Xenopus tropicalis: one gene and its partner. The protein of the gene in region 1 purifies or fractionates together with the protein of each later gene. This does not show direct contact. Links are inferred from orthologs where the notes say so. Each region holds a gene or a part of one and is shown on either strand. Other genes may lie near its edges.

The links.
Region 2: the proteins of itsn1 (region 1) and eps15 purify together in Homo sapiens (co-immunoprecipitation; 3 studies listed by BioGRID and IntAct, with this or other methods). This does not show direct contact. The link is inferred for Xenopus tropicalis from reciprocal best matches to the Homo sapiens genes ITSN1 and EPS15.

The regions. Positions count from the first base shown.
Region 1 is NC_030678.2:14,138,216-14,141,970, reverse strand, and holds the start of itsn1 (intersectin-1), read right to left. Parts: upstream 2,602-3,755; 5' UTR 2,368-2,601; intron 1-2,367. UniProt on the Homo sapiens protein: Adapter protein that provides a link between the endocytic membrane traffic and the actin assembly machinery. Acts as a guanine nucleotide exchange factor (GEF) for CDC42, and thereby stimulates actin nucleation mediated by WASL and the ARP2/3 complex.
Region 2 is NC_030680.2:96,305,527-96,309,181, forward strand, and holds part of eps15 (epidermal growth factor receptor substrate 15), read right to left. Parts: intron 2,913-3,655; coding exon 2,817-2,912; intron 2,446-2,816; coding exon 2,383-2,445; intron 2,232-2,382; coding exon 2,106-2,231; intron 2,022-2,105; coding exon 1,962-2,021; intron 1,043-1,961; coding exon 836-1,042; intron 1-835. UniProt on the Homo sapiens protein: Involved in cell growth regulation. May be involved in the regulation of mitogenic signals and control of cell proliferation. Involved in the internalization of ligand-inducible receptors of the receptor tyrosine kinase (RTK) type, in particular EGFR.

The DNA of each region.
Region 1 (3,755 bases):
CTCTAATGTTGGTAGTACACCAAATTACTCAGCACAGCCAACAGCAATGAAAGGACAAGCAATGAATGAATAGGAGTACAAGCCAGAATAGGGTGGGTCGTTCCTCACAGAGGATCCCTTCATAGGGAGAATGAGAAAGTGTACGAAGCCCAGATACCACGATTGCTCTGAAACATTAGCTGCTTGCGTCATGTCTCCTAATCCAGCGCTGCACGTTATCACTAGGAAGGAGGCAATATAAAAACCTGCCAAAGCTGTGATGGGAGCGGTGACCTACAAACATGGGGGGGTGGGGTCACTGTGTAAGGGGGTGAGACTTCCCATATAGCCAAGCCTTTTCATCATTTATCAAACATTAGAGCTTCCACAACAGTGAGGAAAAACTAGCACAAGTGCCCCCCAACCTGCTCACAAGAGCTTACACTCTAGAGCACAGAAATTCCCCTAGGGCTAACCATCTAGGTGCAAGTACAGGTATGGGACCTGCTATCCAGAATGCTCAGGACCTGGGGTTTTGCGGATAAGGGATCTTTCCATAATTTGGATCTCCGTAACTTAAATCTCCTAAACATCATTTAAATATTGAATAAACCCAATAGGGCTGTTCTGCCCCAATAAGGGGTAATTATATCTTAGTTGGGATCAAGTACAGGTACTGTTTTATTATTACAGAGAAAAGGGAATCATTTAACCATTAAATAAACCCAATAGGGCTGTTCTGCCTCAATAAGGGGTAAATATATCTTAGTTGGGATCAAGTACAGGTACTGTTTTATTATTACAGAGAAAAGGGAATCATTTAACCATTAAATAAACCCAATAGGGCTGTTCTGCCCCCAATAAGGGGTAATTATATCTTAGTTGGGATCAAGTACAGGTACTGTTTTATTATTACAGAGAAAAGGGAATCATTTAACCATTAAATAAACCCAATAGGGCTGTTCTGCCCCAATAAGGGGTAATTATATCTTAGTTGGGATCAAGTACAGGTACTGTTTTATTATTACAGAGAAAAGGGAATCATTTAACCATTAAATAAACCCAATAGGGCTGTTCTGCCCCCAATAAGGGGTAATTATATCTTAGTTGGGATCAAGTACAGGTACTGTTTTATTATTACAGAGAAAAGGGAATCATTTAACCATTAAATAAACCCAATAGGGCTGTTCTGCCCCCAATAAGGGGTAAATATATCTTAGTTGGGATCAAGTACAGGTACTGTTTTATTATTACAGAGAAAAGGGAAATCATTTATAAAAATTAGAATTATTTGTTTATAATGGAGTATATGGGCAATGGCCTTTCCATAATTTGGAACTTTCTGGATAACAGGTTTCCGGATAAGGGATCCCATACCTGTACATTGGCTGAAAATCAAAGTGCTGAGACTAAATGACACCTTAGAAGGCAACAGATTCCTAAAAAATGAATACCTGGGAAACGCACTTCAAACAGAAATTGGACCGCCCTTACCAGGAGGAAGGATAGATAGATATAGATCATTTTTACATTACAATTCATGATAAATATGGCACTGCTACTTAATTTAAATTCCATCTAAAATCCAAATAATAATGACAAACTGAAATTTAGGAAACACATATTTTTAGCTATAATGCCTATTGCCCTGATCCTGTATACATACATACATAGCAGTAAGCCATATTTGTTCAGAGAGGTGCCCCTCTATATGACGGTTTATATATACAAAGAAAACCATGGGGTCTCAATGCCTATGTAAGTCAATGTACTGGCCCCCTATAGAAGCATTACAAGGACCTTGGGTCAATAAAATGTGTTTATATCTTTTGTAGTTATTATTAGTTGAAGAATATGCAGTTGTAAGTAGGTTTCCACTTTATGTTAAAGCTCAAAGTTTTGAGTAAATGTAATTGCTTTTCAGGCAACATTTATGTGTTTAGCCTTGACTTGTGAAACAGTGTTGCAATGTCACATCTGCCCAGGGTTCTGCTACATTGTTTCAGGAGTCAGAAACACAAGGCATATAGACAGAAGGATGCTGCTGTTGGTAGCAGATACATTGTATTAATGAATTGGTAGATGGCTATGCCATTCTCCCTTGGGTGGAGCCCCCCAGCCAGCACTGCTTGTCTCCCTAGAGTGCTCCCCTATGTTGGTTTATTCCATTGCAGGACATCAGCATGGGGAAATCACTGACATACAGAATTGCAAGCATTGCCATGTAATTAACTGAATCCCCAAATCCCATGTTGGCCGCCCAACTCCATATCCCTCAGCCATTTGCCGAGCCATTGGTGGCTGCAGCTGTTCCACCCCGCACATAATCCAGGCAAAGCATTAATCATATTTAATGGTGATAATAATGCGCCCCGGCACAGCTCTCACCTCATAGCGGTCCTCCACCCTCTCCTCTGCCACAGGGATTAGCACCGGCTATGTCCAATACGGCTCCCCTCTCAGACAGCTCGGCTGTATGGCAACATGCCCTCTGCTTCAGCGCCCCTCCTCCCCTTACTACTCTCCCAATGCCCGTGTCCGTACGACTCTCCCCTTGTGCCTGTAGTACAGTGCGGATCCCCTCACCCCGCACCGCCGTCCCCTCCCACCAATACTACGCACCCACACCACCAACCCGCTTTCTGACGTCACGCGGTGCCGGCCCAATCAAAAACAAGGAAAGACACGCCTATTCTGTAGCTTCAACCAATAGTATGCCGCGTTCTTTTTCTCCCTGCCATTCAATGGGTGTGGTGTCGTCATCACGCCAGCGAACTCCTCACATGACTCACACCGCTGGTGTCTACGGCGGCCATTAGCCTTGAGGGCGCTAACACTTAAACCTTTATGTGAGGGGTAAAGCATAGCATGTGACAAAGACAGATTGGAAACATTAATCCAGAGATAGGGTTGGGCAGAAAGGACGTTATAAGGAGCTTCCAGCCTCGGGAAGGCTATAGATACATGTCTATGAAGATTTTCATTCATCCAGGTCATGGTATATCTAGTATAAATAAATTTGAAGCAACTGAGAACTAAACAAGTCCAGTTGCTTCAAATTTATTTATGCTATAGATACATATTACCTATTCTTTAGTTGAGCAACTGTGGATTATGCAGGGTGCGATTGATTCATTTATGTAAACCACTTTGCTCAGACACAGATAAGGGTAAAGACACACGGAGATACTTAGTAGCAGCTACTAAACTCCAGAAAATACCCTGCCATAGACAATACTGAGAATTGCCTCTGCTAAAACACATGTAGAGACAATTATCAGTAAATGATCAGCATTGTCTGTTTTAGTAGCCGTGACAAGTAGCTGCTACTAGTAGCTCCGTGTGTCTTTGCCCTAAAGGGGCCCAAGACATTTTGCATTTTTACCCTTCACTCAGGAGCTTTGCACTGACTATGAAAGCAATACTTCAGCAATAAGGTTTCAAAGAGCTTTATTGAAACCAAGTTCATAGTAAATTCATAATTAACATTTGTTTCACAGAACATAAAAACATAAAATCATGAATCACAACACAGTTTTTATAAAAAGATACAGAGTACAATAAAAAAAAATACTTCAGAAATAAGGGATACAGAAAGAATGCGTTAGATTGGCAAGACAGATGTTGAGGTTAATATGCCAGGCCTTAAGATGGCTGCCGTAGCTATGCGTCACATGACAATGATGCGGGGGGACTCTGCAGAAGGGGCGCTGCTGAGCAGGGTCAGGGTGGGTTGTGCCGTCTGGCTCTGATTCTCCTCTGTTCCATAGATCCCA
Region 2 (3,655 bases), on another chromosome or scaffold:
GAAGGATTAGTTGAAATCCAGAGGTGCCGTATATGTCCAGAGGGTTAGGTAGTATGTCAAAATGTATATAGCTTAATCATGCACCGCAGGTTACTAAATTACAACTGAAGCTTGCAGAAGAAATTGGGTAAATGAAACATGCTCTATTCACAGGTTAGTTATTTCTCTAGAAATTTCAGAAACCACAGGATGGAACTCACAAACCATGTTTTGCCAATTAACAGATTGCATACTTTTCCAGTCTTTAAAGCGGACCTGTCACCTTAAGAAATAATTTCAAATTGTTTTCTATTGTGTTTGGCAAGCAAAATAAACTTTACTTACACTGTATAAATTATTTTAATCTTATTTTCTTCAGCCTTGGAATTCACAATTGCAGTAAGCAGGCAGGGGCCATTTTGTGGACACTGTTATCAAAGCAGGCATTGCATCCTGCCAATAACCTTTTTTTGTGCCAGTATGGGGGGACCTGAGGCCCAATGTCCATGCACTGGTTACACAATTACATGGTGAGGAGGGAGGGGAATGTGAGGGGTGCAGCAACATCTAAGAGGTTCTGAACTGAAAGTGAAAGTAACTGTCTGCCCCACCTCTATGCCTAAGGCATAGAGGCGGGGCAGGCATTATATGATTGACAGCTGGGATTTTAAAATGCTTTTATAATGGGTATGGATGTGGTAATAAAAACATGATTTTGGGTTTCTTGTTTAATTTGAAAAGGGCTTTTATTATACAGCTTTTTATGTCTGGATGACAGGTCCACTTTAAGTAAATGATCTGACCAAATCTTTTACACATTGATATATGTAGTATAAAAAGTTAAAAAAAAACCTACCTGGGTCACTTGAACCTTTGTGGGCAAAATTCCAACTGGTGGCAGCGATTGCCGCGACTCTTTAGAAGGTGGCATAGGTAAAGTGGGAATGACTGGTAAAGATGCAGAAGAAATGGAGACTTTCCTCTTGGATTGTGGTACCAGAGTATGAGGTAATGACATGGGAACTGGCTCTTTCTCAAGAGCAGAGTATACAAGAAACATCGCCTGTGAGATTAAAGGCAAACCACTTAATATTTTGCTCTCTAAAGATTTATCCTCAAGAAAAATTTGCTATAATATTAGGTTTTCAGTGGCCAAGGAAAAATAAAAACCAACTTTCATGACAAAACAAGATAAATGCAGGGCATTTTTTTTTTTTTTTTTAAAGTGAAAAGTGAAATACATGCACCCTTTAAAAGTGCACAAAAAATGTATTTATGTATGCTGTGCAACACATTCAGCATAGCTTTACATAGATTAACCTTGTTTGTGCATTATCTTAACATACTTTTGAAAAACACAGCACAGAAGCAGCTGGCTGGGTTGGTACCAGGGACATCCCACTTTCAGCCAGCTCTGGGTTTTGACAAAAATGCTTCCACTACATTCCACTTTGGAAGCTTTGCACCCCAAACAAGGGAAACTGTCTTGCTTTGCACATACAGAAAACCGAAGGACAATAGCACAAGGCATGTTTTCCAGCAGATACATTACGTTTCATTCATTACTATCAAAAGTGGTAACCGGCAGACTGGCATTTTGACCACTTTTAGTCTACACTGGGCAGCAGACAAAATCTGCCAGAGCCTTAAACCTTGGGCGTCACATAGGCCTGAGTTTTGTTAATTGTATTTTCTTGTGCAGTTTTCAAGAAACAAACATAAAAGCCTACAGTAATTTTTATAGCAATGACCTTCCAGACCAACATCTCAAAGTTGATAGAATGTGGGAGGTTCCAGGTACTGATTCTAGTCCTGGGCTGTGCTGGTCATTTTTTATTTCCACGATAACTTTTTTTAGAAAGAATTACCAGCATTCTTGGACAGCTTTAGCTTTTATCAGTCTGAGGGCCACAAATGATTAACTATGAAGTTATTTCATGGTACACAGTAATAAACTAAAAAAAAAAAAAAGATGTACTTACAACAGCAAACTCATCTCTGTCTAATAAACCATCATGGTCGATATCACTTAACTCCCAAACCTAAAAATGATAAAGAAAATTTCATGGCTACAGAAAAAGCTAGATGGGATTAAAGGGAAGTGAAGTGTCAGAGTCAGTACTTACTCTTCCCAGAATTTCCACAGAAAGTTTTGAATTAAGCAACACAGGTTTAACCTTATCACCAGACAGGAATCCATTCACTGGGTTTAAACTGTCAAATATGGCATCGTATTTGGCCTTTTCGTCTGGCTGCCATATGTAAAAAAATAAATAAAATAAAAATTGTTACTAAACATCTGGACATGATGTACAAACAAAACATACTATACACATTCTATGACAGTTGGAGGTTTGACTAGGTTACTCCATCTAAAAACATAGGACATGCTCTACCACTTACCTTGACAGCCCATGGTATGTCTGTAGTTACTGCTGTTCCAAATAAGGGTGGGCTTCCTGCATCCTGCAGAAACAGGTGGGGAATTCACTTATCAACAGCAGACAAATACATTGAGCATGTACCTTAACAGATTTAACCGAGTGGCCATGTTAAAACCTGGCTCTAAATGTCTTAAAGATTCAGTTATATAATTTCCCAATCTTATATAAAAGAAATTAATATGATATCACACTGCAGACTAAAATACTCCCTACAAAACTAGCAACACACTTTTACAAACTAAGTAACAAATAATTGCAATGCATTGGTACTTACATATTCTAATGCGTAACGTCATTTTGGGGAATATTAAAAATGTCAATTATTAACAGGTCGGTAAATTATTTAAGGAAACAGAATATAAACATATACATAAAAGCAAAATATACACCTACAAATCTGGGAGGGGGAACCACAGCTTTAAGACTACTAAGGCAGACTTCCATTCCATTCTGTGCACATGCTACCAGCTGCAGGGCTACAAAAAACTCCTGGGATGTACAAATTAGGGAAGCAAAAAGAAATAAAATAGTCAGTAAAATGGAAACAATAACGCATTAAAAAAATTCAATTAATATTTCTACAAAAACATTTACTTAGAAACTCAAAACAGGATCCAAGGAAGGATATTATGCCATACTCAGTAATGTACTAGGTCACAGGATTTCCACTCTACTACAGCATAATGTGTTGGAGGTTAATAATGCATGAGAGTTCAGGCCATATTAGTGTGGAATTCAAGTACAGTGCCAACACAGTTGCTAGGGATGGATCAGGTGCAGATTTAAGTCGGAGGGGTCTGGCTGGCAAACGGCAGTACAAAGCTTTAAGGAAGGAATTTTTATCTAAAGGTAGGGTCCTAAAATTAGGCCCCTTTGCTGCTTAGGGTGGGTCTCCCTGTTCCCCCATAAGAACATAATTTTTTTTCATATTGATTTTAAAGATGTGACCACATCATTTATACAGATGGAAAAAGATGATCTGCATTCACACATATCAATAAAATAAGGGCAGAGAATACGAAAAGACCAGTTTAAATAACAATTACATTCACAAATAATTATTCATGTATTAACATAACTAAAGAAAGTTAAAATGTTTTAGCTGTCAATGTAAAGTCAGCATACAGATTACTTTAAGACCTAACAACATGTTGTCTGTGCATGCGTAAATTATACTGAAAAGGAAAGGGCAATTTATTACAGGAGAATGGGAGACCTATTTATCAATTTTT